Linked DNA regions of Caenorhabditis elegans. The protein of the gene in region 1 interacts with the protein of each later gene in a pairwise test. Each region holds a gene or a part of one and is shown on either strand. Other genes may lie near its edges.

Evidence for each region.
Region 2: the proteins of ZK945.6 (region 1) and ssp-34 interact in a two-hybrid assay, tested with the Caenorhabditis elegans proteins (one large-scale study listed by BioGRID).

What each region holds. Positions count from the first base shown.
Region 1 is NC_003280.10:10,104,709-10,109,226, forward strand, and holds ZK945.6 (Ovule protein), read right to left. Parts: upstream 2,263-4,518; 5' UTR 2,195-2,262; coding exon 2,164-2,194; intron 2,118-2,163; coding exon 2,010-2,117; intron 1,958-2,009; coding exon 1,790-1,957; intron 1,747-1,789; coding exon 1,403-1,746; 3' UTR 1,372-1,402; downstream 1-1,371. Other genes in the region: putative RING finger protein ZK945.4, read right to left, coding at 1-276, 558-849, 898-988; ZK945.7 (uncharacterized protein), read right to left, coding at 2,814-2,878, 2,922-3,299, 3,347-3,514, 3,558-3,696; ZK945.8 (PPP1R11/YPI1 family protein), read left to right, coding at 3,994-4,111, 4,159-4,370.
Region 2 is NC_003282.8:10,737,242-10,741,083, forward strand, and holds ssp-34 (Sperm-specific class P protein 34), read right to left. Parts: upstream 1,362-3,842; coding exon 1,038-1,361; downstream 1-1,037. Other genes in the region: grl-21 (Ground-like domain-containing protein), read left to right, coding at 252-587, 631-813.

The DNA.
Region 1 (4,518 bases):
TTCTCTTTTTCATGATACAATGCCAACGACGAACAGATGTTCCTTCTGAGCTCCGGGAGTTCCAAGTGTAGAGAGCTATGCTCGTGCTCGAAATGATCCGAGCATTTGTCCAAAAAACATTCGCTGCACATCAGTCGATTCTGCCGTTTCTTGCATCTGTCTCTCATGCACACAAGACTTATACTTTTTCCTGGGTGAAATTGACAATCAGGAGTTGAAATCATCTTTTTCTCATGATGTGCTAGTGTGGATATAGAATGAATCCACGTCCAGCATCTAAAAATATTTATTATTTTCTGATCAAGATTTTAAAATGACTTCCAAAAGGCGCACGGGATTATTTATATGGGTCTCGTCGCGCAAAACGTTTATGGTAGCTTCTTTGCGGCCCTCTCGTTCATTTTCATAGTTTTTTTTAAAATTTATTCTGGACCGCAAAAATTGAAAAAAAAACTACCATAAACTTTTTCTTGCGCGCCGAGACTCATCTAAATAAATGAGTGCGCCTTTAAAAAGCCATGTCAAAATCTTGTGAAACTGATAATATTTCAACTAACTCTTCACATAAATCGGCGTCGCATGTCTCACAATAATTCGAAGCGTGATGATTCGTGTTCTCATCACAGACTCCATTCTTATTCCTCTCCTTTTTCTCATTCTTTTCCGAAATTACTCGGTTCTTTCGATCTTTCACCTCTTGTTTGATTTCCAGAATACTAAAATTCTTTTTGAGTCTCGTCACATCTTTTTTCCAAATTCTCGTCTCAATTCGATCAAATGGGCATGCGATTATCGAAGACTGTCCTTTTATTTTTCCTGCACATCCTGTACAAATCGTGTGACCACATTCTGGAAGATAAAATAATTTTTAATTAAGAATCAAAACACACGGTGTACCAGTCAAAATTCTAGGGATTAGGAGCTTTTCGTCTTCTGAATACTCCTGCCCGCAAATCCCACACTCCGGAAAGCAGCGGAGCATATTCATGGCAAGTTCTGGAAACGAAGAAAAAATATTCGAGTGTATGAAATGAATGGGAAATTTCGTTATTGTCGTTGTTGAAAACGAAAATGTTCGTTTAAAATACGAAAAACGAATACGAAACAAGAAACAGCGCGATGACACCAATTGACCACAAATTTGTGTAAATTTGGAGCAATTTCCGGAGATCAAACAGAGAAAGAAAACACTTTGAATATTCTTGATATGCAGAGAGTGTTCGAAAACTAGAAAAAGAGAGCGCGAGGAACAAAAGTAGAAAGAGTATAATGTGCACACGCGAGGCGACAGGGGGCCTAGGCAGTTGTTGTTTTCAACTCGTTTTAGACTTTGGAGACGCAGAGTCAGATATGCAAAACTATTATCTTCAATGAGAAAAAATGTATTTTATCAAATAGCTATTCAATAGTTCTGTTCAATTTTCCGAACCCATTCTTCAAACTCTTCAGACGTCGGACCAAGTTCTGCGGTTGAAGCGTCATCCGAATTGACTGATGCATTGGATGTTGAACCATAGTCTTCAAGAATCTCAAAATCATCTGGCGGGCACGGAATAGCAAGGTTGACACGTGGATCGAAGTAAACTGGTTCCAAATGTTGCTCCGATTGAGCTAAGCACTCCAGAGAATCAACTACAGTAACCTTCTGATCATCACACATCATTTGAAATCCGGTGATTTTGCCTTGATCACGCCAGACTTGGAGCGGCGACGGTTGATGATTGAGGTCGAAAGGATCATCTGAAGCTGAAAATAAATTTTTTAAAATTTAATTGAGACGGAATCCCACCTTTAACATAATCTTGTTCCATAGAACTCAAATCCGATGCTGTACTGAAAGACATCTGAGTATTCAAAGAAGGATCTGCATAGGCATCCAACTTTTGTGCCACTGTCTCCAATGATACAGCTGTGCAGACCGATGTACAACTCAAAGATTCTTCGATTGCGGTTATCACTGAAAAATCTGGTGATTCAAGATCATCTGAAATCGTTTAAAGGCAACTCACAGTTACTAATAATATCTGCTTCGTTCGTGTTACTACACTCCTTGCTTTTGATGACTCCATCCAAATTGATATCCACTTCTGAACCAATCTTTTCGAGAGCAATGAAATCTGAAATTCTACGGTTCAGACGGCATGACAAACTCAGTAAAATTACCATTGACGACATCTTCCTGAGAACACTCCATGATTATGATCTCTCGAGATGTGATCGATTTGAAAATTTTTTTGAAATGAAATTTTGAATATAAGAAAATGAACATTGAGGCATTAGTAGGAAAGACGTGAAAACATTTAATTTTATAAAAATTTAAAGAACACGGTTGCCACGTGATTGGTGAAAACTTGTACAAAGAATTTATAGATGCTCACAGAGGCAACTCCTTTCGAACAGTTCTCTCAAAAAGTAGGAAATAATGGAAATTGAGAAGAAGCACCACATTTTATGTACAGTTAACATTAAATAGCATGGTAGAAGTAACTTAGAACCACGAGGCTGGTAGATCGCAACAAGGGCGGGTGAAGAATTGATGCAAATTTCAGATTTATAGGGATAAGACAACTCTTTTTAGAAGAATTCCCGTCTTGTTAGGTGTTCAACCCGGGAGCCATGACGGGGCTCATTTTGTCCGCCTCGCTTTCATGTGTGCAAAAGGCGGCCAGGCACAAGTCTCGTTTCCATGAACTATCGTAATAGTCATCAAAAAATTTGCTATACAAAAAACCAAGAAATTACGAATGCATAGACAACAACAAAAATGATTCGACATTTTTTATAGACCAAGTTCAATAATTTGTTCCGATTCTTCAGATCTCGTGATGGATTGAACTGGCATTGGATGAACGCAAGAGGTAGCTTTCCACAGATTTGGCTGAAATTGAAAATATTATTTCTTAAATAAACTTCACTCTTACCAGTTTTTCCAAAATCAGGATTCTGATCGAAATCCACCGGGATTGGTTGGAATTTGTCCAACTGATGAAGGCATTCAATTGAATCAATGATCTTCGCATTCGAAAAATTGCTGCACTCCAATCCAATCACTTTGCTATCCGGAATCCCGAGCTCGGCTTGAAGGCGCTCTACGTAGGCGGTGGTGTCGAATGTTGGATGAGCTGATTTTGCAGTGTGCTCTGACGCCAAATCCTGAGCAACGTTCTTGAGAACATCAGCCATTGTGACGTTGGTCTCCGAGGCAAGGGCAGTGTACTCCGAGAAGCTTGCAACATTCATTGTAACATTTGCTTCTGATGGTGGCATTGAGTAGACAGAGTAGTCAAGAACGTTCATCACTGAAAATTTTTGGTTTTTCAAGATAGAGTTGTTGCAGTTAACTTACAGTCTTTGCACCGCTCGAACTTCTCATTCATGGTCACTGGGGTCTCGGATTTTGGAGCAGAGTAAACGGACAAATTGAATTGATTGATATCTTGACATGGCTGGAACCCTTCGCTAGCTGACACATTTGTTTCTGATTTTGGGATTGGGTAGATCGAAGAATCAGCTTCTGTAAACTCAATATTCCCAAAAAAAAGACAATAAAAACTTACGATCATCTGGCGTCTCATTGACAGCGATAATTTCTTTGGCAAGCACCTCATTGATGGAGCAATTTGTCTCCGATGGCTGAGCAGAGTACACGGAGCACATTCCATCCTGATCCATTTGGTTGTCGAACGAGGAAGCCATAGCTAACCAATCAATTGAGCAGATTGTTTAATCCGACGGTTGAGGTTGTCGGACGAGTATGTAGCAATAAATTGTTAGTGTGGCAAGGGGGAGGTAAGGGGAATTCAAAAGTTCACGTTAAAAGTTCAATTTTTTTTTTGAAATTTATAAATTTTTTTGAAATTTGAACTTTTTATAGTGGAATCATGGCATTTTAAATATATATAAATTGTCAAATAAATAAAAGTGTAAGTCCACGATTCCAGGGAAAAAATTCAAAGTTTTATTCATTTCGTACATCAACTACACAGTCGTACGATGCAAGCCCCCGTCGTAACGGAAACTTGTCAAACCAACGAAGAAGGAGAGCAGCTTGTGCTCCGCCTGAGAGCTCCAGTTGAGCGTCCACGTGTCACTTGGGGAGCGGGAGTAATTGGTGAGTGAATTTATATTAAAAAGTCTTGAAAAATACTTAAACTTTAGATAACGAACACATGGGACGTCTCAAATCCAATTGCTGTTGCATCTACACTCCGCCTCGTGTCTGGGATGATCCGTCAACTTGGGAGCCGGAGGAGCATGAGACGGAGCACTGTCGTGGACATACTCTTCCAGAGAAGAAGCAAAAGCCACAAGGAGGACATGGTAGCGATAAAGATGAAGATAAGGGAAATTGTGGATGTGATCATTGTTGAAACTCGAAGATTTAAAAATTATTAGGAAATTTATGTAGATTTTATTGTAAATTAATCTAAATGACCCATCATGCCTTTGTTCTTATGTTTTTGTATTGAATATTACTTTTCTGCGGTCATAAAAATGAAAAAAAAACTGAAAAACAAA
Region 2 (3,842 bases), on another chromosome or scaffold:
TCAACAAGCATAAAAACAAGTAGGCTCCACCCACTTTAACCTTGAATTCTGTGTGCCGAACCCGGGGTCAAGTGGCTTTTCGGCCAATTACTCATCGGTTTGTTACAGCACTGGCGGTCACTTCTCGCCGAATTTTCTCAAAATGTGTAATAATGAAGCTGCAATTTCTCTGCGTATCAATCTCTAACGCTCTGCTGTAATGACTACAAAAGTGACCATCGAAAACGAGAATTTCATACATTCCACTCGAAATGGTTCATTCATCAGTTCTAATTGTTCTTTCACTGACTGCTTCTTCATCTGCATTCCTTCTAGAAGGACTCGGTTTAGGATTAGGTCCACAAAGACCTCAACAATGCTGCTGTCCACCACCTCCACCACCTCCACCATGCGGAGGCGGATATGAAGCTCCACCTCCACCACCACCACCATCATATGCGGGTGGACCATCATACGCTGGACCATCTTATGCTGGATCCTACGGACCAGGACCATACAGAGCCAAGTCAAAGAGATCAGTTGACATGAAAGCTTCAAGTGGAGATTTGTTCTGTAATAGTGTTGAAGTTAGAGATATTATCAAGAAGGTATTGCATTTGAAAGTAACTAGTCTATATTGAACATTTTCAGGGAATGACATCAGGTGAGAAGGAGTCACGTGAAACAATCACTGCTCTCCTGAAAACTGAAATGAACCGTGAATATGTTGTGATCTGCACAAAGCAGCCATTCGAATACCTCGCTTCTTCCGATTCAGAGTTCTGCTCAGTGACAAATGATTCAGGAATCACTTGCTCTTCTTTCGTATTCTAGATGCTCAAGCTCTATGTACAATTACTATACGGAATCTCAGGAAAAATCCCCAACTTCTTTCGTTTTTTTTGTTAAATATGTATCACATGACTGAATACTATCTTATATTGGAATTGATAAACATTTTTAAAACACAATCAAACACCAGCGGAAAATACAATAATTTTATTCAATACAAAAATCAATGAATCTCTTTCCCATTTGCTTCAGTTATTGCATTCCATTCAAGCAGCGATGAGCTTCACAATGATTTCTCCTTGTTGAGCTCCAGCCTTGAACGGTGCCATTGGATCAGTCTCTTCGGCTGGCACTTCCGCGTATTGAATCACAATTTTGTCTTCTTTTGGTGGCCCTGGAAGACGATTGATGTCCAATTTGCTCTTTCCCTTTGCATCCACGAACCCATAAACTGGACGGACGCGGTAGTGCTCGTTGTTCGACGACTTCACCTTGAATGCAAGACGGGAATCCGATTCGGAAGTGATGTTGTGCGTCGAATTGCCTCCAGTTGCCGGATAGTTTCCAGTTGGCGGATCGACGTTGATCATTTTCAATCGGACTACTGCACTCTTCGATTGTGAGGAAACTAATTAATGATTGATATAAGGAAGTTCAATTGATAATCGACTTGTAGATGACCTTTCTTGATTAGGAATTTTTTAAACTTGGACAAACTACGTGATACTGTATTTTTTAATGTTCCCACATTTTCTCTTTAAAACTTTTATTAATAATCAAGAGAAAAACGCACGCGAAACAAACCACTCACTTTAAAAAATGTTTATTTGACTGCATGGCGAACCTACGCCTGCATGGCGAACCTACCTACTAAAAAGTGTACACATTAATTCATTTTCTTTTCCGTGCTGAAGTTTCATACATAATTATTTATATGAAGAAAAGATGCATTTGTAAATCAAAACTGAACAAACACCAGAGTTTAACAGGATTTACTAGTAGGTATGCAAGGCAGAAAGGTAGACATTGCAGGTCTATGAAAGGCTTCCCAGTTTTCCTGTTCAGTTTGGCAAAAGTTGACGTCAATATTTATCAGAGTTTAATATTGCTCACAAAGTCCCGACACTATTATTTCGTGAAGCAAAATGTAATTCTAAAAATGCAAATATAATAATTTAGATAAGTACGCCTGCAATATTCATAAAGAGAACAATGCCAAAAGGACCTTGAAGTGGTTTTGTGGGACAACTTGAGCAGTAGTTTTCGAGTGAAGAACTTGTTGTTGTTGTTGAAAAAAGAATAAGTATGCGGAATGGATCATAGTATTTTTGATTTATTTATTTGGACATTTTTTCGGAATAAAAATGACTCTAGGAGTTGTGAATCTAGCACATGAGATTTTGAAATTATTCCTAGAATTGAAAAAATTCTAAAATTGGCTGTTTGACAGTTCTTTTTTGAATTACACAGCTTTCATTCGAAAGTGATCTAGTCAAATTGATTTAAATGAACTGAAAAATCATCAACTTCATTTTCCACTACCCACAAAAAGTTATTGAATCCAACATGGTTTTTCTCATCTTTTTTTATTGTTGTTCCATTTTTTTTTATGTAACCACTTGTGATGGTTTGTGTCTGTTAATGTGTGTGTTTTTTTTTCTACCTCACGATATCTTACTATCGTAATAAATTAAATTAAATTAAAAATAATATAACTTAAAAAATTTACCAAAAAGTTTTAGTTTTTCAAAATGTTCAGTCAATGTTGTGGTAAATTGCCAAATTAAAGAAAAGGTCTTTTGAGTAATTTCGATAAATCATTTTAATTTTAATACTATAAGAGTGATTACGGATGTTTTGATTTTTTGTTTTACGGCTAGTTTTCCATTAACTAGTTTAAAAAAAAAACATATGTTGGAAAACGGTTAATTTGTTTTACTAAAAATGTATAATTTTTAATTGTGAATTTAAAATTCGTTGATGAAATGTACATAGGCTTGTTATGGTTAAACTGTTTAAAAATCGCCAAATAGTTTTCTTTCGCAAGTTCGCGAATCTACATATCATACTACACTACACTTTTCAAGGAAGGAGGTCTTCCAAAAAAAATCTTCATTCATTTATCTTGCACTCGTTTCGAATTTTTCGATTTTTCGACATCTCGACTAAATTTCTAATTTATTTTGTGCGCGCCTTTGCGTCTCCCTTTGCTCCTCCTTTTCTGCTCTTAGAGGAACACTGACCAACTCAAGTGCCTCCGTGTATTACTTGAACCACCCATCTTCTTTGCTTTTTTTAGACCATCAGATCTATACACAAATGTATAGGGAAGGTGCCACTCATCAGAGACTTCTGTCATCATCTAGTGGTATTTGCACAGTATCACACATTCCCTAGAGGACTTCTTTGTCTTTGGGTCATCCCTCCCGACATCCCTAACGACACCTCATTTTCTTTGTTTTTCTTAGGTCCTTGTCTAGTTTTTTTTTGAAAAGAAATAAGAGAGACTTAGAATCATTACGTCTATATATACAAAGGTATTTTTCTTCTTTTTTTCTCTCTGTTTTTCCTGTGAGAACGTTGTCAAAAAGCCTGGCTGCTGCTGTTCATGAAGTTTCCGGTAGCTGCTCAATATTCAATCAGGTAGAATGAAAATTATTTTTATTTTTTTCTCTCACAATTAATGGTGGTCTTTCTCTAATGAGAAAGGCATGGTACATTGAACTTGTGCAGAAAATATTTGTGATCTTTTCAGCTAGTAGAATAAGGCAAGCCAACTCCGTCAATTTTATTATTGCACATTTTCCAATATAATTTTGAATTTCTGACTCAGCAATATAATCAGGAAAATAAGGCTTATAACATACGTTGAAAACTCTTCAAGCTCGTATGTCTTTCTCATGGCTGCCTGCCTACGTGCCTTCTCGCAGATTTCGTCTGCATTTTTCATTTGGTGTTTGTTTTGTGTAAATTTGAGAATTTCTCATTACATCAGTACAATTTTTTTTGGTGAAAATTAAATTAAAATTGTTAAAAAAAATACTCCAACATTTGTATTCTGCAGTCCGGAA